Schizosaccharomyces pombe: one gene and its partners. Changing the gene in region 1 together with any one later gene gives a genetic interaction. Each region holds a gene or a part of one and is shown on either strand. Other genes may lie near its edges. The genes, in order: SPOM_SPBC215.11C, ksg1 and xap5.

Region 1 (7,157 bases):
CAAATATAATGGGGAACCTGGCCGAGGGATATCTTGGAGGACATGACCACGACGACGCGTTAATAAATCATAAATAATAGGAAGACTGTCAGCGGGGGCATGTACTTCAACCATATACACTGGTTCCATTAGCCGTGGAGACGCTGTTAAAAAAGAAGAATAACACACTCTCCTTGCGGTTGGAATAATTTGACCACCTCCTCGATAAATTTGTTCAGGTGCAAGCACTACATCCATCAGGCGAAAATTCACGTTTCGGATTGTCTCATCACATAGAGGACCTTCCCTAGTCCCCCATTGAAAACCTTGTTTAATGTATTCTTTTACGCTATTAAGCACGTTTTTATCAACATCTGTACTAAGAGTATCATCCCGCAATATATTCGTACCACGATCATCGGGACCAAAAGCCCAGATGGAACGTGAAGCTAGTAAGTCCCAATCGTAGTTCTTTTGGAAAAATTCGCTGATTCTTTTTTGAGGCCAATTGATATTAACTTTTCCATTTTCAATGTCATTAGAAATTCCTTTCTCCAATGGCTCAACTACCATTGTGATACGATTTTTTTTATTTGGAGTATCTGAAAAACACTTGATACTTGATGTGTCCACCGCAGTCTCACAGAAACGAGCAACTGGATCGGAAACTCTGATTTCGATTTCAGAGTATAAAGTCCGAAGATCATAAAGTAGACAATCCATATACATCTCACCAGTACCGAAAATAGTATGTTCCCCAGATTCTTCTACTTTTGTGATAGATAGTGGGTAGCTTTTGTTTGTTTTTCGTAGGCCATCAAGTAGTTTTGGTAATTCTGATGGATTGTGTGGCTCTACAGCCACCTTGAAAACACTCTCGGACATGTGAGCAATTGGCCTGAAAATGTAAGGATCATCTTTCAAATTGTCCGAAACGATGGTTGCTGTTTTGCTAATAGAGTTATCAACACCTCCTAAAAGAACTAGCATGCCGGCAACAGCTCCATCAACGTGAAGACGATATCGTGCGCAAGGTACACATATTTCAGCAATATGAGCAACCACCATATCCTCTTCGTCTTCTAAAGAATAATTTTCTCCAAGAACTTTAACTTTCTGACCCTTTTTAACCTGACCACTATATACACGAGCAAATGCATAAAAATTATTAGCATCGACGGTGTTGTAAAGTTTAGTAACATGCATGACTAATGGTGCTGATTCCTCACGACTCATTTCTAAGATAGCCTTGCCGATACTAGAGTTTATAGGCCCAATATATGATTGAGAGGCTTTACGAGCGGCATTTTCTCGAGGCGATGGAATATGTCTAGTAACTGCATTCACAAAACCAACGGGGAATCCAAAAAACGATGCGCAAATTAGTTGCAAGAGTGGTTTAGGATCTAATAAATAATCCTTGGGTTTTAAATAAATTTGGAAAGAAGATAAGTGTTTTTTGAGTTTTTCGGCTTCGTCAGAAATAGTAAGGGTATGTAATTTATACAACGGTTCTAATATGAAATGGACAAAGCTTCTAACGCCAGAGCCATCCAAGGACTGTTTGGCAAATTTTCTGGTTTTCGAATCGAAATAAATATCCCCCCACAATCTTTTAGAAAATAAGTCCACGTCGATACCTCCATGTCTATCTATATAGAGTTTTGCGAAACTAGACAATGTAAAACAATATCCAAGATCACATGAAGCAAAACAAACGTTCCCTAACTCAGGAGAAACGCGATATTTCAAATCTTTACTAATCTGGCAAATGTTATCGTTTACTTCGTCGATAACGTGTCGAAGTTTATGGTAAGCATCATTCGGAGGGAGACGTAGCTCAAGGATTAACCTATCAACTTTGTTCAAGACGAGCACAATTGGCATATCGTGAAGAATCGCATGTTTGATAATTCTAGTGGTGTTAATCATCACCTAAAGCATGTTAGAATCTTTATATCTTCAAAACGCAAGAAAAGGCCAGAATAACTTACACCTTCAATAACATCAACGACTAATACAACACCATCACTTATGGCCATAGGAGCAGCGACTTCATCAACAAAATCGACATGACCAGGCGTATCGATGCACTGAAATGCAAACGTCTTACCCTTCATATCAGAAACTGCGAGCGTAAGTGGAGTACTTTTTATAGACATCACACGTTCTCTTTCAAGATAATGAGTGTCGGTATATCGAAGTGAACGCCTTTTTGGCGGCTTGGTGTCAGGATGGGTATAATAAACGAGTAAATCTAATAAAGCGCTTTTGCCGTGATGCAGATGGCCAGCAACAATAAAAGATCTAACGTCATCTGTCCCAGTTAAGAGACCGAAGAGGAACCTTAAAAAGTTAGAAAAGACATTGTTACACATACTTACTCTTTCTTGTATACAGTATCTGGGACGTTTGTTGTTTCTATAGCAATCCTTTTGTGACGAATTGGCTCAATAATGGGCTGGCTTAAGGGTTGAGTATCCTGTTCCTGAACCATGATATCCACGTTGGACCCATATACCTCTTCAGCGCTAGGATAATATTGTTTATCCTCGTGAAGAACAACGGCATTCTGAGGCTCTAGATGACTCAACGCCATTTCCTCGGCCCTTTCAACGTCTTCTAATTCTTCATCAGGAATGACCTCTTCAAAGGATGGTACCTGTGCAATTGTAGGGCTAGGAGCCTGAGGAAACAGCTCCTCTTCATCTTCTTCATTTTCAGGGCCTATGTAATTTCCAAACCTGGCGAGTTAGAAATAACTATAAAATGTTTTTAGACCACTTACTCATCATATAAATCCTCTTCCATCATCAGTTACTGCCAAGTACCCACAATGCACAACTTTTGGTAATTACCAAATTTGAAGTAAAGTGTAACCAAGTTTTCGAGCTTTAGCGCATTCATGTCTCAACTGCGATTTATATCTCGTTAAGCTTTGATAATGAGCTAGAGAAATCATTGTCTTTATACTCTCTAAACGAGATATGATCGGCTCAGTAACTTCCACTACACTCTTTAAGGTTGCCGAAGAACGACATCGTCTCATTTTGATAGAAAGGAATGAATCGTAATTATTGAAAACCAAATATACTTTTTTATTTACCAACTTCCTCCTTAAAAGTCGTACATGGGTGTAATTGAGACCTTAAAAGACTGGTTATGTCTACGATTTGAGCTACCGACCCATGTTTAGCAGCCAAATTTATAAGCTTTTCGAAGACAATAGTAAGAGTAAATAGCCATTGTAAAAGTGCGGTGCAAACATTTTTAGAGCGCAAGTTTTGCAACTGTACAAAGTATTTAGTGTGTTTATAAAACACACAACAAATTGCTGAATGTCAATAACACTAATAATATACTGGCATCATCAACTAAATTCAAAAAATGTGTTTCCTTTCAAATACAGTCCTAGAATTGTTATTATGTGCAATGTTTACCTCGATTTACGGAACTGGTCAACCCATTTGTGGTCTCCAAATGATAACTCGTAGTACGATTTGATAGCACGATCAAGCATAATTCAAGAAGATGGAAAATATAAATCCACATTATCTTGAATAGAAAGAAACATAGCAATAAAGATCATTATCGTTATGTGCGACCATCGTTGCTCATGAATAAAAATGGGCTGGCAAAAGAAGACAGAGATACAGTTTAGACAATTCATCCAGCATCAGATTTTGGAACCATAAAATTATCATTAAATTGAATAAGAGCCAAATCAAAAAGGACTTAGCTATTTACTCTAATTCAAAATCCAACCAGCAATATCGTACTATAATAGTATTAGTCATCGTTATGACAATATATTGTCTAACGCGCTCTTACATCATACCACTGGATTCTGTAAATAGGGTATGTAATAAATCAGTTTTCGTGGTTTAAGATAGTCCGCATCAATCCAGCTTATGTAAGGAATACACCATGTAAAATTACTATAAAAGGAAACGGCGTCTGACATCCCACACTTACCGGATCCACTATAGTACTTGATCTTGATTTCTAAGAAAAGCGACAAAAGACACAAAAATGAGTAAAACTGCAGCTTCTTCCGCCGTAGATGCTTCACAAGCTGGGACTGTCAAGGTTGGCGACATGGTTGTCAATAGAATGGGATTCGGAGCAATGAGAGTTACCGGTGATGGTATATGGGATGAACCCAAAGACAAAGAGGCTTGCATCGCAACTTTAAAACGTTTGCCTGAACTCAATATTAACTTTATTGATACCGCCGATTCTTACGGCCCTGAGGTCAGCGAGAATCTTTTACGAGAAGCTTTATACCCTTACAAAGGACTTATAATTGCTACCAAGGGTGGCCTTGTTCGTACAGGTCCAAATGAATGGCATCCTTGTGGAGCACCCAAATTTTTACGTCAAGAAGTACTTATGAGCATGCGTCGACTTGGAGTTAAGCAAATTGACCTCTGGCAACTACATCGCATCGATCCCAAGGTTCCTCGCAAAGACCAATTTTCTGAAATTGCAGCTATGAAGAAAGAAGGATTGATTCGCCATGTTGGATTGAGTGAGGTTACAGTAGACGATATCAAAGAAGCTGAACAGTATTTTCCGGTAGTTAGTGTTCAGAACTTATTCAACCTTGTCAATCGTAAGAATGAGAAAGTGTTAGAATATTGTGAACAGAAGGGAATTGCGTTTATTCCTTGGTATCCCTTAGCTTCAGGAGCATTAGCCAAACCCGGAACCATCCTGGACGCTGTTTCAAAAGACCTTGATCGTTCCACTAGTCAAATAGCTTTGAGTTGGGTTTTACAACGCAGTCCGGTTATGCTACCTATTCCTGGTACTAGCAAAGTAGATCATCTCGAAGAAAACGTCAAGGCCGCTGGAATCCAATTATCTTCTGAGGTGTTTGCCAAATTGGATGAGGAGGGTAAAAGCGAAGATGCTAAGCGTCAAGAAGAGGAGAAGAAAAAGTCTTCTTAGATTTCTCTTTTTCTTTCTATGGAAACTTACTAATGCCACGATGTTTGGAATTTCCATATGTTGATAATGTTATAAAATGATCTCATGATTAAATTAAAAGCATCTTTTTGTATTGATTTTTCATATTCCTCGTAAGGTCTACAAGGCACTGTTTAAGAGAAAGCAGTTTTTAACATGCTAAAGTAAAAATACACGGCATTCACAGAAAAATAGTTATACCCGCGGCTACGTAAATAAAGAAGTTTACGAATGCTTATATATAATATGTATTGTAATTTTCGTTATTTTGATATTTATTATTGTATGGGAATTAGATATTGAATTTTTTTTGTTATAATTTAAACAGGAAAAAGATACTATATAGGTTGTTAAATTTAATTAAAATCAGGAGGGATATTATAAATTCGTTCCAACACTTCACCAACGGCACCTTCAGCACTTGAAACGTCGGAAATTGCCTTGGCTGCCTTTAAGGCGACAGGCATTCCACTACGAATGGCTACGGAATAGCCTGCCAATTCAAACATGCAAACATCATTTGCTCCGTCACCAAAAGCTAGGACGTTTTCCAAGCTAATGGATGGATAAATCTTTGAAAGAATATTCTTGAGCGCAACCCCTTTGTTATCATTGGGAGGAATTATTTCAAAAGTCTGGGGAAGCGCTTGGGTAAGAGCAACTTCATCCGAAGGAATGCCAGCCAGTCGCTTTTTGGCTTCTTCAAGGCCGTTAGTATCATCATCAAAAACTACCATTTTATTGAAGATGTCTTTCGGGCCCTTAAGCTGAGGGAGCATTTCATTGGCGTCGTCCTTTACTGTTTCCCCACAGAGTCGCAAAAACTTAATACCATGTTGTTTTTTATCCGATTCCTGTTTAATTTGGTAAACGTAATCTTCATCGTAACCGAAAAGTGCACACGTTTGGATGTCTTTGAGCTTATCAATAATATCGATGGCTAAAGAGTTTTTAAGAGCTGCGCAAGCAACGATTTCACCTTTATCGTAAACTACGCAGCCGTTAAGGTGAACACAAGGAAAGACATGTAAACCTAACGCTTCTCTGATATTACCTACGGATGTTCGCTGTCTACCAGTAGCTAACACAAAAGGTAGCTGAGGATAATTTTCACGAAGATACTTTAAAGCACGAAGGTTTCGCGGATGTGGCTTATGATCCGGTCCCAGCAAAGTACCATCAACATCACAGATAATGAGTTGAATATCCTCCGGTTTAGGTAAGACGTTTTTCTTTTGATTAATGTCAATTTCTTTAGACGGCATCTTTCTTTTTTGTATGAGATTTTTAATCAAAACACTGTTAACGTCCAATTTACCTGTCTATGATAAACAATTGATCAATTTATTTAAAAATCAAAGTAACTGTTTTCACAAATACCCACAATGATCTATCGTATTTGTATTTATAGCCCGAAAGATGACACAGATACAATATAACTTGCTGACTAATATTGCTGTATTGAAGAAGCGTACCTGTCGTTCACAGCTGAGGTGATCCCTTTGGTTTGTGAATACAAAGGTTGTGGGGTGTTTAAATAACTTTAAGTAGCATTCCCCACTTTTGGGATGACAAAAGCATGTTGAATGCCGGACCTTCGGTAGTCAAGATCTCGATCCCACTCCGGCGCGTTATTAAAACAGAAAGAGATATTGTACGGCAAGACGAGTATGGAGGGTTTGTAAAATGAAGGGTATGCGTTTGTAGTGAGAAGGAAAGAAGAGCAAACAGCTGTTTGAATAAACATGTAAACAAAAAATGCAAAAAATTATTTAGACAACAAGTTAACGCTAGCTTTGTTCAAAAAAAGATGGAGAGATTATTTAATTTTCCTTTCTTTATTTTCTTTGAAATTTTTTCATTAGGATTTTTATTATACATTTTTCTGCTACGTGAAATTCTGTAGCTCAAACTGTGGGAAGTTCTTTGACATTAGTACAACTATACTTTTGGGACCTTGAGCCCAGAGCAGTTGCCTTTCGCTACACTTACAGTTTCACCAGAACAGAGACTACACAGGAACTAATTCACCGTCGTATAGACATTGTAAGACTCCTTATTAAACTTCTAACTAGCGATGTCCTTATGTAGAAATTAATTATGAGCTGGAAATGAGCTGGAAAAATAAAAGTAAACAAAGAAAAAGGTAATAATATTTAGTTGGATCTATCAATTTATCAAGTTGTCATATTTAATCATTAAATTTT
Region 2 (8,273 bases), on another chromosome or scaffold:
ACAGCAGTTCGCTTTCCTGCTCCATTACACTTCAATGACAGAGAAATTAATTGATTTCGGCCTTGAACAAGAGGAGGAGGATACGGAATTTGTCCCAGGTGACAGTACGGATACGGAGTCGTCGTTTTCTGATGCTGATTCAAGTGAGGAGGAGTTCGTAGAGGAAAAAGAAGCCTCGCAAGTTCAAAGTACTAAATCAAAAATTGCAACCAGTGAATCTGAAGATGTTACTCTTAAAAATATAGCAAAAAAAAATAAAAGAGAAAGAAATGATAAATTAATCCCTCAACAATCAAATGAATCCGAGGCAATTGAGAAACCGGTACAGTCTACAACCGAAGTGGAACTGAAGACTAATGAACTTGCAGAATCGAATTCCTCAGTTGCCGTAGAAGGGGATGAAAATTCCTATGCTGAAACACCTAAGAAGAAACACTCATTGATAAGGAAACGCCGTAAATCTCCACTTGATAGCTCGTCAGCCCAAAAGGTTTTAAAGAAAAACAAGCTAAACACTCTTGAACAAGCACAGCAAAATTGGTCAAAGTATATTAAGGAACAGGATATTCAAGATGAGCTTCGGATCGCCAATAAAGATGGTTATGTCGAGCGCCAGGAATTCTTAGCAAAAACCCGTGCTGCACATGAAGAAAAAATTCGAGAGATGAAAAAGTTGCCGTAACAAAATGGTTTAAAACTTAAAACTAGTATTTTTTTTAATGAAGAACCCCTTTTGTCTAAGACACCAGCCGGCAGCATTGAACGAGTCCATGTCGATTTTGCGTTTCTTCAACTACTTCACCTCCTCCAAGCCAGGAAGTCGTTGTCTTTCTAAAACTTCATTTGAAAATATCCAGATATTATTTAAATGTTTTATTTAATTGGATTAGGATTATTTGATGAAAAGGATATTACCTTAAGAGGCCTAGAAACAGTAAAAAAATGTCAGCGTATATATCTTGAGGCATATACGTCCATTTTGCTCGTTCAGAAGGAAAAATTAGAAGAACTTTATGGTAAAGAGGTTATCCTTGCTGATCGTGAAATGGTAGAGAGCAGTAGTGATGAAATCTTGAAAGACGCTGACAATTGTGATGTTGCAATGCTTGTTGTTGGTGATCCGATGGGGTATGTTTACTTGAAAGTACATGTTCCTTTTATTTATCTTTTTTTTATTTACTTTGAGAAATTTGACTCAGCTGTTTATTACAGGCTTTTAGCCCTTACGACAGCATCTCTCAGTTATTAAAAAAGCTTTGGTTTTTGCGAATTGTCTCTTTAAAGAACATTCAGTTTGTCATCGAACCCTATGATCTGTAAAGATTTAATTGTAGTGAATACTAATGACTCTTTAATTTGAGAACCCGTGCTTTTAATAATCGTTTATTTTTTATTGTATTACTAATTGTTTAGAGCTACCACTCATGCTGATCTAGTTATAAGAGCTCGTGAGCTTAAGATTCCTGTTCGCATGATACACAATGCCTCCATTATGAACGCTATTGGTGCATGTGGTTTACAACTCTACAAGTTTGGTCAAACAGTCAGTCTTGTCTTCTTCGAAAACAATTACCGTCCTCAAAGTTTCTATGACCACATTAAAGAGAACGTTAGTTTGGGACTTCATACCTTAGTTTTGCTGGGTAAGTTAATAGATTATAGTAGTTGGTGTTCTGACAATAAAAGATATCAAGGTAAAGGAGCAAAGCTGGGAAAATCTTGCTCGAGGCAGGAAAGTATACGAACCTCCTCGCTATATGTCTGCTAGTTTGGCTGCTCAGCAGATGTTGGAAGTCGAAGAGGATCGTCAAGAAAATAGTACGTTCATTTTAAAATGTTTTTCTATTAATTGTTAACCACCCTTAGTATGCACACCAGACTCTTTATGTGTGGCTGTTGGAAGAATGGGTTCCGATGATCAAGTTATATTTGCAGGCACATTGCAAGAGTTAGCTGAGCATGATATAGGTCCTCCATTGCACAGCGTGGTTCTCGTCGGTAGAGATGTTCACGATTTAGAATTAGAATTTCTACGTGCGTACGCAGTCAATCTCGAGAACTTTGATCGTGTCGCAAAAACATACTTGGAGAAGTAATTCATTATTTATCATACTAGTAAATTGATGCTTGAAGTTTTTTTTTCTGATATTAAGCGAAACCTAATTTTTATGTACAAGTCATACTTGCATAATTAACTTAATCTGTAGATTAATCATAAATTGAGAGAATGTACAACTGGCTTTTGGGAATAATTTCTTTAAATTTTTTTACTACGTAGGTAGAGGTATATTAACTAGTAAACGGTGAAATGTTCTTGGATCGATAACTTTTACCATTTTAACATTTTAAGGCTAAGGTAAAAAATATAAAATAAATAGATCCATAATAAGAATAAGCAAATAAAATCAATTGACCGTTAATAACAAAATACAGAAATCATACGGCAATCTAATTTTGTAATCACACTGAAGGATCACGGATATAAAGATTTTTTTTCGAATTAAACAACGAACGTAAGAGAAAAACTTAAAAAGAATTTCTTGAAACATCAATAAGGTCGTAAGAAAATTAATGCAGAACAGAACAGAAAAAAGAGTGATAGAATAAAAAGTGAGGGGATGGATGGAAGTGTTCATAGACATAAAGGATAGATTAGACAGCACTTCTAGCAATGCTTCTTGAAAAGCTGGTAACAGAATGATTACCGAATGGAAGAGAAATAGAGCTAGCCTTATCTAGAAGCTCAACCCAAGCAGAAGCCGGTCCATTCGGGTCTTCAAACGACCAGGATTTTGTTGGAGTCTCAACTACCCAGCCATGTTCATTGTTTTTTACCATCCGACAACGCATGCCTACACTCTTAATAGGTATTTCTTCTTTAACTGTTTTTCGCCCTTCACCGTCCGAGGCAACACACAGGTATCGACCAAAATTTGTAAGTATAAAGGTCCGAGGTTTCCTTTTTCGAAAAAGACTGGAGAAAAAGCGAAAGGCATCATTTCCATTGATACCAGACATACTATAAACATTGAGGGTTCCAATTTTTGAGATTTTTTCATCGTCTTGAAGAATACTCGACCATTCCTTGTTTTCCTCCTCAAGGTTGGATTGACACGGCAATAGAGTGCCTCGGTTAAAAGTACCAACCGGAGAGGGTGCAGCATTGGTGGATGCTGAAACCATCGATGGAACACCAAGAGGCGAGGTCAAATCACCATTTTCGTGTTTGTTAGATGCATTAGGAACGGAAAGGCTGAGGACGCTAGTATGACCAAAAGGTTTAAGACGGGGAGGAGGAAGTTCCCAAAGGGTATTATCAAATTTGATACCATTAAAAAACGGATGCTGGTGTATTTCATCAACAGTTAAGCGATCTTTAGGATCTAGAACTAGCAGTTTTTTAATCAAATCAGAAGCGACATCTGATATGTCAGGTGGTATCTCATAACTCAAATGAAGAATACTTTGGAATGTCAAATATTCATTTCCTGCTACAAAAGGGGGTTTGCCAGCTAGCATTTGGAAAAGAATGCAACCAAACGCCCAAATATCGGAAGCCGTACCAGCAATTTTATCACTTAAAACTTCAGGAGATACATAACGAGCAGTTCCTACAAACGATCGAGAATGAGCCTGTGGTTTGTCAGCATGGTGTGTGTCTTCTTCATGACTGCCATGTGAAGAGTTTAATATTTTTGCTGAACCAAAGTCGGTAATTTTTGTACGCATATTATCATCCAGCAAAATATTTTCGGGCTTCAAGTCACGGTGAATCACTCCTCGTCCATGCATATAGTCTATTGAGTCAACGATAAGTGCAGCATAATATTGTGCACATATTTCGTTAAATCGTCCCAACTAAATTATGTGTAAGCAAAAAATAAAACATTTAATAAGAAAAAAGACAAGATTGTAATAATCAGTAAGCTATCCATCATCAAGCTGCATGAACATTATTTATACATACCTTATTGATATAATCCAACAGTTCACCATTTCGAGCAAGACTCAAAACAAAATACAAATTGTGAGCATCTTGGAAAGTATAAAATAGCTTAATAAATCCAGGATGCTTAGAGAGGATGCACAAAGCTTCTTTTTCAATGTTGACGTATTTTTCCTTTTTTTCCTTGATAATATGTCTTTTATCCAACACCTTAATAGCATATTCTCTTTTTGTTGAGTTTTCGGTAGCTGTTAATACAGTACTGTATGATCCTTCTCCAAGGATTTCGCCAAATTTAAAATCCGAAACTCGTTTTATGTTAGGAGTCGATGCACCGCTAGACGGATTTGGAGTAGAGATATGTGGGACTGCAGAGGGAATCTTCGGCGATGAATCGATCTGAGACGTTGACTCATTTGGTGTAGTATTTAAAGCATTAGACTGCGGGATGGCACTATTTTGCGTCTTTGGTAATGAAGCTCGGTTTAGTTTTTCACTTGATCCATGATCAAAACTAAGGTCGGATTCGCTTTGAGTATCATTTTCTGCATCTTCTGATGCTTCAGTTTCATTCGGATTGTGCGTATTTCGCATAACCAATATCTGGTGTGAAGAGAGTACTGGGTAGGTGAATCAGTGTCAGTAAACTACGAATTGACGGCAATGTCATCAAAAGAAAATTGCACATATTCGGTAAAATTAGTGCTTATAACTGCAAGTATACAACTATTGTACTATTGTTATATAAGATTTTGCTATCCGGGTTATGATTTGCATCGTTGTGAGTGCGAAAATTAATATTGCATGGACATTTTAGATAAACTAAATATTCATTCATTTGATTTAGATCATGCTTTTTTTAGTAACTATAAGTTTATTTATTTTTTTAAGGAGCCTAGAGAAGTAGTTCATCAAGGTAATGATTTATATTACTATGTGAATCAGCGCTGAGTATACACAGTCATACGCAAATTCTTAATGGAGTAGAGAAAATCATTACATAAAAGTAAAAAAATTGTCAAACCAAGTATTTTCGTCTTGGCTGGTTGAATAGCATTACCTTCGGGTGTGGAATTCAATATGATTTAATTTCAATAACTTAAAAGATCACTTAGGTTTTAATGAATAACTCAGTTTATATACGAAGAGCATTAGAAGCTTTTATACCAGAATCGTAGCTGAATATGCGGGAAACATATTTTACTTGAATTTCAACTTACCGTATCAATTTTACAGAGAGAGAAAATTATGCACCATTCAGTTTATAAATATGAATTATTTGTTCAGCACAGAATCAAAAATAAAGTGCCATTGTTTAGAATTGCATTTTCCACTACACCTAATAGGAACAAAGTGTGTTTGATTTGTTTCAATTTAGTGTTGTAAACAATTCATTTTGGAGATATAACATAAAGAAAAGGGTTGGTATGAATGCCAATATCTTGCTAGCGAATTCATATATTTTGCTTACGAACAAATCTTCATTAAAGGACAACCAACGCAAGATTTAACTGAAGGATACCATCTTTATTTTAACTATTCTATAAATCAATTTTTGAGCCTTTTTTTTCTGGGGTATATGCGTGAGAGAAAATGAAGTAATTACGATATAGTACATTAAATGAGTTTTTTGTCCGTCAATATCCTTTTTAAAAAATTAGTTAGTAAAATAAAGAATGATAATGAAGTTTTACAAAAAAAAATTTGTTTATTGAGTATTATCTGGGTGAAAAACAAAGAAAATATAAAATTATAACTGGAATTAAAGAAACAAGACGTTCACAAACATAAATTAGCAAATTCAGAAAAAATTAAAAAAATTTAATAATAATGACATTTTACTATCAGCCCCCTCTGTTTATTTAAAATATTATATTTTTGGAAGGCATGTATACCAAAATATTTAGTATCTAATTTTTAAGTTGTGATGTAATAAATCATATTCCTATAATACAACGATTAACTTAGATGATTTAATTTTCAAAAATTTTTCATATTCATTTTCATTCGCCTGGACGGATATGAAATATATAAACTCCATTTGTCAGAAGATTAAACCATGTGAAATTGTGAAGGTAGCGCATTTTACACTTATTGTGAAAGACTGGAAATTGGTTGTTTTCGTTTCCAAATTGCAATTTTGTTTTTGTTAAGCCACTGACCTTGAAACATAATAATATTCGTGTAACACACAAAAAGAATCTAAATTTGGTATCATAAGTCGCAAGTCATAATTAAACTATCAAAAAGATCGAGTAAATAAAAGTAGTCCAACTGTAACAAAAGGATATTTTCAAATGATGAAAACTAGAGAATTCGAAATCGTAAATAAATGAGGATGTTTCGAATGTTTTTAATTACAGCATTCGGTTATATCAACCTTATTTAAAGTTCGCTTAAGCAGTCATTAATTCAATATTTATGGTCTTTATCCTTAAAGCAACTTTTCAAAATTTTCAAATATATAATGATATATCCCTTTCGGATTTCGATTCTCTTTATGTATATAGTCTTCCTTTCAACCAGGTCACTTTTAAAGAAGCAAGTGGTACAAATACGGTTTCCTAACGATAACGCTGTTTAAAGCATAGGAAATGAAAGAAGTGTCGTTGTGCGGTTTTACTGTCAGCTACACACTTTATTATCTACTTTAACGATACGTAAATTGCATTAATTCTTACCTGTAATCTATTATATTATAGATGCAGATTAACGAGTTCTTTTATGTAAGTATTCTTATAAATGAGTTATCCTGTTACCTATCCACTAAAGGTAGCTTAAAGTTAAACTGAGGACTAAGCCTCAATAGGAGCCGTATCTATATACTACAATAACACGCGCTTTAGTAAACTATCAACGAGGTCTTTTTTAACGTTGTATCATAGATGATATGATGTGTAAATAAAACATGTGACATATAGTGATACGCAACGTAGTGTGCCATATCGTAGTGCAGTATTCCTGACACATGTTATTACTATAACAAACCATCGTTCTGAATATTTTATTATGCTATTCATTATTTTGTAAACATTAATTTTGTTTGAATTGAACCATTAAACAAAAAGAAAAAATGATAATTAAGCTTGATTCATTAAGAATCAAGATGAAGGAGAAATGAATGCAATAAACGACAATGAATTTGTAAATTTAACAAGGCGGAACAACGAGTTTTTCGATTTCATTAGTTGATTTTAAGTTGTCGTAAACAAGTTAAACCATTATTGTTTGTGACTTGAGTACCATTAAAAAAGACACATAATTAGACTCGCATACATAATAAATAAAGACTTCGGTCCTCAATGCACATTATCCAACATCGTAGAATGCATTGGTTGGCAATTTTTGATAACTGGAAGAATAAGTTAAGCATATATTCCATAAACTTATAAAGGAAGAGGATGATTAAAGAATGTTGGTGCTTATTTTTAAAAAAACGCCGCAGCTTCTCTGCGTTGATGATTTTCGTAAAGAGGTTTTCCAACTGTAGCGACAACTACATTAATAACGCAATTATACTTCGCTTTCAACTTCCATTTCCCCCAAGGGAATGTCATTATTATCGTTGGCACCTCTAATCGCATTTCCTATCCGCCCACTTGCATTTCCTATACCTTCTAATCAGGTAAGTAAAAAATAATTCATAGAGTTTTTTTGAATACACATACCTAATATAAAACCTATAACATTCCCAGTAGTGTTGCGCATCCTCTTGAGTACACCTGGACGTTCTGATATGGTTAGAGTAAATTACAGGAATATATAACGAACCCATTTCGTAAAGAAAAAGAGCACAAACCCTTCGATTTCGTAGCCTCTCCATCCGAAATATTTACCAAATAAAGACATTGAACCGTTTACTAATAGTGCGATAATGCCATGTATACCCAACACTTGTAGCATCCCAGATAATGCACGGCAAAGTGTCCAAATTGGAATACAAACTGTATGTTAGCGTTTAGCAAGATAATTTCACTTACCAAGCAATAAAATGAAAAATAAAGCAGCCGAAATACTGCATGTGGAACAGATGAGTGCCTTATTTAAGTTTAGTCTACCATCCTTGACGCAACCAAAGAGTATAAAACAAATGACTACCCATGCGAACCAGATTGTAACCACTAAATCTTTTTTTGAGTTATACAAGCCGACCGCAATCACCTTTACACATTGTGCCAAGGAAATTACAGTCACCTTTATACATTGTGCCAAAAAAATTACAGTTACTTTGACTGCCTTGATCCAAGTTTCATAGAAGCCTAATGAGTTAGTGAATGAACGTAAGAATAGTCCTATCGTGTCACTTACACCATAAAGAAATAAAAAT
Region 3 (7,338 bases), on another chromosome or scaffold:
ATTGTCTTTGTGAGGTTAGCTTGTTTATGAGTTATTTATATGGTAAATAGGGGAAATCTACTGTGGTAGATTAAAAATATCTCTACAATTTTGAAAATAAATGTAAAATTGTCGCATCTTTGAATTTGGTTTTCATTTTTTAGTAAGTTTAGATAATACAATACAATTCATTAGTCTCAAAATTTTCAAAGATCGTGTTTGAATATGATATTTTGTCCTTTTCAACCGTTGTCAAAGTTGTTGCAAATATTGAATATATGCAGTGTTTACTTCAACTGTATAATAATGGTAAAACACGTGTTCAAAAAATAAATGCCTAGGCATCCATGTGCCCTGAAGCAGCTAGTTTTTAAGCACTAGAGACAATTTCTTAAAGAAGTAGAACATATCTCATGCAAAGTTTTCGAAATCAAATTTAAGGAAGACGACATGAATACAACGGAATGTGTGTGCTATGTTCTAGCATCGCTGACAGGACAAATATATTTTAAACAAATATCCTATTTTCTATAGGAAAAGTAAAGAAATGTAAAAAAACAGTTAGATTTGTGTTTTATTAGGAAATACAAAATATTTATAGGATGGGTTCACGAACAAAAGGAAGAGATCCACTTTTTTCTCAAACAATAGATCTTAATGAGGTATATGTGTTATTAACGAAAGGGCTGAACAAGAATAAGGAGGGTTCATCTTGGATTAATTGCCAAATGCATAAATCAAATTAAACACATTACTCATAAACTAATGACTTAGTTAGCGTGTAATTGTTTCAATGCGAGATCTGACTATTCAAACAAAATAAAATAGCAACGATCGAGCAAGTTTCTTACCATATACTAAACTGTAGAACAATGTCCAAGTTAAAACATAAGAAGGTGCGCCATCTAATATTTTAGCGATCCAAAACTTATATCCGGGCTGGTAATACTTAGTTAAGTTACCACGCATTTTCAATGCAAAGAGTAGAAAGGAGACGAAGAAGTAACCGAGTACATACAGAGCAAGCCCTTCATATGAAGTTAAACCCAAAATACCAGCTGCGCACCCGAAAAAACTAGAAGTCAAGTTTCGAACAAAAGAAACGACCTTTGGATTCATTAGCACTCAATTATAAAATCCTTAAAAAAACTAGTACCAAGAAAATCTAGCTCTGCAATCATTTCTTACCTGTTCATTATATGCAACATTTTCTACAACAATTGGAGCGACGCCTTTATCCCTTTCCATATTAGCTTATGAACAATTCTGATGTTTAGTTGAGTTCACCGCTTGTAGAATTATAACCAAAAAATGATGGATAACGCATCTTTATACTGCGGTATTAACTACATAAGGACTTAGTAGGAACGTAATTTTTTCGCAGCTTGACGTATCCTTAAAAGCATTTTGCAAACTGCGTAATTGCCAATCTTTCATGTAAAGCTACAAGCGATATGGATATGGGAAAAAGCATTACTTTTTGCTTGGGCTGAATGTTGGCTAGTTTGGAGGGTGAAATAGTTTATTCAATACAATTGAGTACTTTATTTTTTTCCATTTGATTTTTTTGAACAGAAATGGGCTAATTACTAGGATATTGGGAAATCGCATTGTTTAAAAGAGGTTCTCGTTTTACATCAAGGTCGATTTTTCATATTTATTTGTTTTAGAAAAAAGTATCATCTTATATTTCCTGTATTACTGGTTTTCTAATTCTAAAACTTGAAAATGGTGGATGAAACGTTACATACTAGATTGTTTACAGTATACCGAAAGGATTAGAGACTCGTGAACATTCGTAAAAGCGACATGCTTATACTTCCAAGAGAACGAAAAGCGAATTTCATTTCTTATTTACAATAGAATAGTTATTCTCATCATTCAGTCACGATCACTTTTTTCTTTACCAAAAATTGTATACCTAAATAGCACAGTATAATCCACCGCAAATTAACGTATCGTTAATATGTTTATGATCAAATACTATGTATTTGCATACCAACGCTGCGATACATTAAATAAAAACAAGCAGAAATATGAGAATTCAATAATAAAGGAAACATTTAATAATTCCAAAAGCGAATTGCTAATTTTTTAATTACTTTATTTTACAATATCCTATAGCACATCAATGAAATCAAGGTTTTCAGTCAAGGTTGGAGTGATGTTGAGAGTAGTAAGTGTAAATACTAAAACCCATTGCGAATACTTAGTGGATAATATCTGTTTCTTTTTTACCAAAGTCTCTCTCTTTGTATAGCTTATCAAGTTATATGTTTGGCGCAATTCATTTGTTTAAAATACAAACATAAAAACAATATAGTTGTAATGAAATTGTTATTAAATTAGTCGATGAGGGAAGTATGAGTATGCAAAACAAAAATAAAGAACCAAGAGAAAAAAAATCGAAAACTTTTTAAAAGGCATTATGAGGGCCGGTAAAATAATGCAGCGTTAGGATCAGTTGCATGCTTTTCCAATGAATAATCTTTTCGAGAATCAAAGACTTCCCAATGCACACATGGAAACACATGGCGATTTTGTAAATAATATGATTTTTGAACTAGATGAGGAATGCATTGAGAAGGAAGTTGTGTAGTTGCAACCATTTCTGGACTAGAGCATGACAGCTTATCAAAGTCAAATAAAAGTCCATCACGTCCTTGAACTTTATTAATGTAAAAGTAGTAAAGCTCATGGTGATGGGGAATGATTAAATCAGATTGAACCAGTAAAAATTTATCCATATCCAGAATCCTCTTCAAAAATGGGATTTGCTGTTTCATATCAGCAAGAAAGTGTCCAACCGAATCTTTCAATCTAGTCCTTACATGATAAGTGGTACTTGTTCCATCGTAATAGATAAATGGTATCAAAATCTCTTTTTCCCGAATTTGCTCCTGCTCTTTTAGCCATTGTTTGCGATATTCGGCTCGCTTCGCGTTTTCACGTATTTCTCGCTCTGCATCTGGCAAAAAGGAGGTATCCGCAGATGGATCCTTTCCCATAAACATTTTTTTCTCAACTTTTTTTAAAGGTAGATCATCATTCTCCAGTTCTTCATCTTCACCAAAAGAAAGTTTTCCTTTGTTAACTTTAATGCCCTGTTTGACCTTTTTGCTTAAAGCATCTTTTCTCTTTTTTCTAAAATTGAATTGTCAGTCATATTTAGAATACTATCGGGCTTTTCTCGTTCTTTTCACTTACATTTTAGTACTTGTGGTTGATAGCGCATGTTTCTCTCGTTTTTCAACGATGTTTTGTTTTACTCTTTGATAATCCTTTAAATGGACTAAACCAGTCGTACTATTTCGTAAAATCTCATGAATTTCATCGGCATCAGTATGGCCGCTCATTGTATGAAGAATTCAAAAAAACGTGAGTGGTGAGCGTTCTTCCAAATAAGCTTGAATACCCAAAATACCCTTTTTTTGCCTCGGTTTTCAAATCTCAAAATGAAAGAAATGACTATTACTATATTTATCGTAGAAGAAGAACATGTTTTTTACATTTACCTATGAGGGATCCTAGAATAAACGCACACTTTGCCAAAGTCACGTTGCATATAAGTTTTTTATATTTGTCAAAACGGTTATTAAATAGAATAACAACGAGGTGGGGCACTTTGAAGCATTCTGTAATCTTTAACTGCTTGTATAGACACTTTTTAAAACCAATCTAGAGACAAATAAAACGAATTACTCGTTTGTATTAACAAGCTTTGGAAAAATAGCAATAGATTAAAAACAAAAAAAAAACTAGCTAATCACTAGTGTTGCTATAAATACTCTAATAAATTTTCGTATCTGGTCATTGAATGCAAAACCATCTTTCGAATGCCAATATATAAAGTCATTAAAGTGATCCTAAAAAATCATCATTATCCAATGTTCATCAAATTCATTTTAATTTGTCCACTTCGCATCGCTAATAAATATGAAGCTCGCTGGTATACTGTCAGATAAAATAAAAAGAAAATTTTCAAGAGCTGTCCCCTTTGAATATACGTGGCATATGCTTTCCACGAAATTGCTCAATTGAATTGGCAATACCAAAGTTTCGGCCAGTTTCCACTACTAAAAAGCAAGCAAGATCCTCACTACTCCAGTAACTGCTATGAGCCGAAAGCATAGAAAGATATTTGTTTGAAATGACCCCATGGGCACTCGTAAATACGTAGTCCAACTGAGAGTTTTCATTCAACTCTTGCATGCGCCACTTGGCCCTTTCTTCTCTGCGAAAATTGCGAGTCTCTAACTCGACAGTCTGTTCAGGCTCCAGTGGGACCACTGCTGTGGGCTCATTGTTTTTATTTTGCTGCAAAGATTGATTGTAACTTCGAAGTTCCACAGGATCAGTATTAGAATGTGAGATCATTCTCAAAATACTTGAAGATTTTCTTGTGAACAGTATACGAGTTGGGTGGATGCCTTTCGAAAATGAGAGATCCACTGTGGGATTTAATCGCATCGCAACGGCTAATTTGTTAGTAAATACGATAATTTAATGATGCGCTTACGATCAAGGTGATTATAGATGTTATAAAAAGAGTCGACTGCGAGACATCCGTACCGATCATAACCATCGTAAGTATATGACTTTGGAACATCAGAATTTATAAAGTTTTTATTTATTTCGTATCTTGATGAGCCTCTTCCACGACGAGGAATAATACTTTGTTGATTCAAATGCAAAAAAAAACCTACCGGACCACCAAAACAAAAAAAACCGTTTGTGTCGAATATAAAGCAGCTTTCATCATCGTCTATAGTAATTTCTTTGACAAAAGTGGGTTGAAGTGACAAAATATCAAAAACAACTGTGGAGCCCAAAGAATGCCCAATTATAAAGATACGGCCCTTGTTTTCTAAAAAGTAAGGATTGCAGTCCTTCCACAAATGGTAAACCCTATTAGCTTCACGAATTACAGACTTTATAATGGATTCTTTGTGATGAGACATATAATAGGGAATATCACTCATCACATCTCCTAATAACCTTCGCACCGCTGGAATGCTATCAATTTCAATATCCTCAATTGAAAATCGATTTTCTTCAAATTCTTCATCCTCAACCCGTCCTTCATCACCGGCAACTGGCTTTATATATGAATTAAAATTAAGCTTATTTCTCCAACATATCGGAAGAAGTTGTGGTTCATAATCGTTTCGAATCAACGGATCCTCTTTCATTATGTTTTTCTGAATTTGGATCAATGAACGAAAAACGTTGCACGTCTTGGTAAATAAGAATCGTTCCTCTATATTGTCAACATTAGTAATTGAATGCCGGTGTAAGATAAAAAAAAATCAAGTTTACTTACCAGTCTCTGATCTTTTTTGACCGATACCATGAACCACCAAAAAAAGATCTGTAACTTGTTTAGGTCCATTAAAACCATCATCTTCAAAGTAAGGAAAATCTCGAACGACCGGCATACCTTTAATACTGGTCCTTCGAGATTGAGTCCCTTTTGAAAAATAGGATAACAAACCTCCTTGACAAATGAGTGCTCTATATCCGTCTTCGTAAAATACATATTTGCCAGAGGAGGTAGGTTTAAGAGGCCATTGCATCGCATCAATTAATTCCTTAGAGGACTTGTTACGTTTATGAGACAATACAGAAGGATCATCTTGAGAATCCTTCCCTTCTTCTTCTTCTTTTAAAACATTATCCCAGTTAACGGCGTATGGCTTCACTTCCTGGTAGCCCTCTTCTAACATATCCGACAATTCATTGATTACAGGAAGACCCGTATCTTCGTACATCCAAAGACCGCGAACGACTCGTAAGGTATCATTTTTACTGGCACTTGGCCAGTATAGAGGCTTTAAAGTAAGAGTAGGTAAGTTTACCACATGAAGCCCAGAAATTCCAACAATGACCTGCTCGTTAGTTAAGCTCACATATAGATTAAAAAATTAGTTACATTCTTCTGATTTGGCTCTTGAGACACCTCCTCTGTAATAATTTCATTGTATTTTGCTTCTAAAGCGTTATTATCGTAGTTCAAAAACCGCCTCCAGGACTGCGCCCCAGTCAACTCCATAGAAGAAGTCTCATCGTAGAGGTCGTAATTGGATAGGTAAAACCACTGAACATAGTGCACAGGCTCCTCCTGGGATGATTCTTGCATATATCTCGGTGTTGGGGGTCGCGTTCTGTTTGATCAAAATGTAAACAGTTCTACAAAGAATAGCGTACCACTTAAATCAAAATTGCAGAATCAACCGATTTTGATAAAACGAGATTCGCAAAAATTTTGAAGCTCCTTAAAGAGTTCTGTCAGTTTCAGTATGTTTCTCCTAAAAGTAGAAACGACAAAAATATATTACAAAGCTTAAGTCAATTTAACGATTTTTGTGAACTTGTAAAGATGCTTACCGTGTTTATTTAATTGTTTACAATATGATATGAGTTTTTGTGAAATCAAATTTATATATAATGGATAAAGGTGATCGCATCTAACATTCTTGGTTTACGAGTTATACACACTTATATATAAATATATATTTTTTTTTGTCGAAACGCAACTTTCAATCCTGCCTTAATTATCACTTTACACAATTAATTCTGTGCTAAAATTTTATAAGATTAATAGGAGTAAACGTGGGTGCATTTATAGAGCCTTTATCTCTGCTGTCTATAGTTTGTTTGATTCATACATAGATTTACCCAAATTCATAGGTGTAAATGTCCAAAAATAATTGTAATCCTTGCAATACGCCTTATCACTTATATGTTTTCATATTACTTTGAAGATAGTTTTGCACTTTGTAAAAAATATACTGGAAAAGATCTAGCGATGTATATTCCCATTTAAACAACTCTTTTATTCTATCGGTTGAAAATACCATCTCTTTTATGACGCTTAGTCAAAGTGAAGCCAATTATTAAAAAAATAAATATGAATTAAGAAAATAATATATATTCCTACAAAAACCCCAATCTCACATCTAAACATTAGGAAAATGTGATTTGATTAGTACGCATTAATTACAAACATAAACGTGAAAAACAACCTTTCATTATTTTTCGGCTAGCAGTATCACTTTGTCTAAAAATTTAGAGATGCTTTCTCTAGTTCGTATATCCAAAAGATAACAGTTTGGCTAGAGTAGAATTCTCGTAAAGAACTAAGTTTTCAACACATTGATTCTCGAAAAGATGTAATTTTTTAAAGAGCACACATCCATAAAAACACATGTTCACAAAAATTTTAGTAAAACATTGCCGGGAAACCAATGACTGTAGATTAGCAGCAACCAAAATTCCAGCAGCTAGCCAAACAATTGATCAGATCCATGCTTTAACATTTATAATACTTTTGAGAAGTGGAATTTTTTTAGTTCTATC

Evidence for each region.
Region 2: mutations in SPOM_SPBC215.11C (region 1) and ksg1 together harm fitness more than expected from each alone (negative genetic interaction), as found in Schizosaccharomyces pombe (one large-scale study listed by BioGRID).
Region 3: mutations in SPOM_SPBC215.11C (region 1) and xap5 together harm fitness more than expected from each alone (negative genetic interaction), as found in Schizosaccharomyces pombe (one large-scale study listed by BioGRID).

The regions. Positions count from the first base shown.
Region 1 is NC_003423.3:4,048,237-4,055,393, reverse strand, and holds SPOM_SPBC215.11C (aldo/keto reductase family protein), read left to right. Parts: upstream 1-3,952; 5' UTR 3,953-4,011; coding exon 4,012-4,932; 3' UTR 4,933-5,034; downstream 5,035-7,157. Other genes in the region: GTPase Cwf10, read right to left, coding at 1-1,914, 1,974-2,325, 2,364-2,723, 2,768-2,793; odr1 (haloacid dehalogenase-like hydrolase ), read right to left, coding at 5,307-6,215.
Region 2 is NC_003421.2:2,101,719-2,109,991, forward strand, and holds ksg1 (serine/threonine protein kinase Ksg1), read right to left. Parts: upstream 4,573-8,273; 5' UTR 4,541-4,572; coding exon 3,968-4,540; intron 3,859-3,967; coding exon 2,653-3,858; 3' UTR 2,220-2,652; downstream 1-2,219. Other genes in the region: FANCM-MHF complex subunit Mhf2 , read right to left, coding at 1-25; Swr1 complex subunit Swc5, read left to right, coding at 35-682; diphthine synthase Dph5, read left to right, coding at 869-1,128, 1,414-1,643, 1,687-1,818, 1,867-2,096. UniProt on the Schizosaccharomyces pombe protein: Involved in the control of sexual development and cell growth under stressed conditions. Phosphorylates AGC kinase gad8 at 'Thr-387', activating gad8 kinase activity and promoting sexual development.
Region 3 is NC_003421.2:751,254-758,591, reverse strand, and holds xap5 (splicing factor, xap-5-like protein), read right to left. Parts: upstream 3,341-7,338; 5' UTR 3,336-3,340; coding exon 3,187-3,335; exon of another isoform or gene 3,124-3,186; coding exon 2,406-3,123; 3' UTR 2,302-2,405; downstream 1-2,301. Other genes in the region: protein Emc6, read right to left, coding at 731-741, 831-1,086, 1,168-1,227; SPOM_SPCC1020.13C (DDHD family phospholipase), read right to left, coding at 3,961-4,457, 4,499-5,239, 5,303-5,867, 5,912-6,118.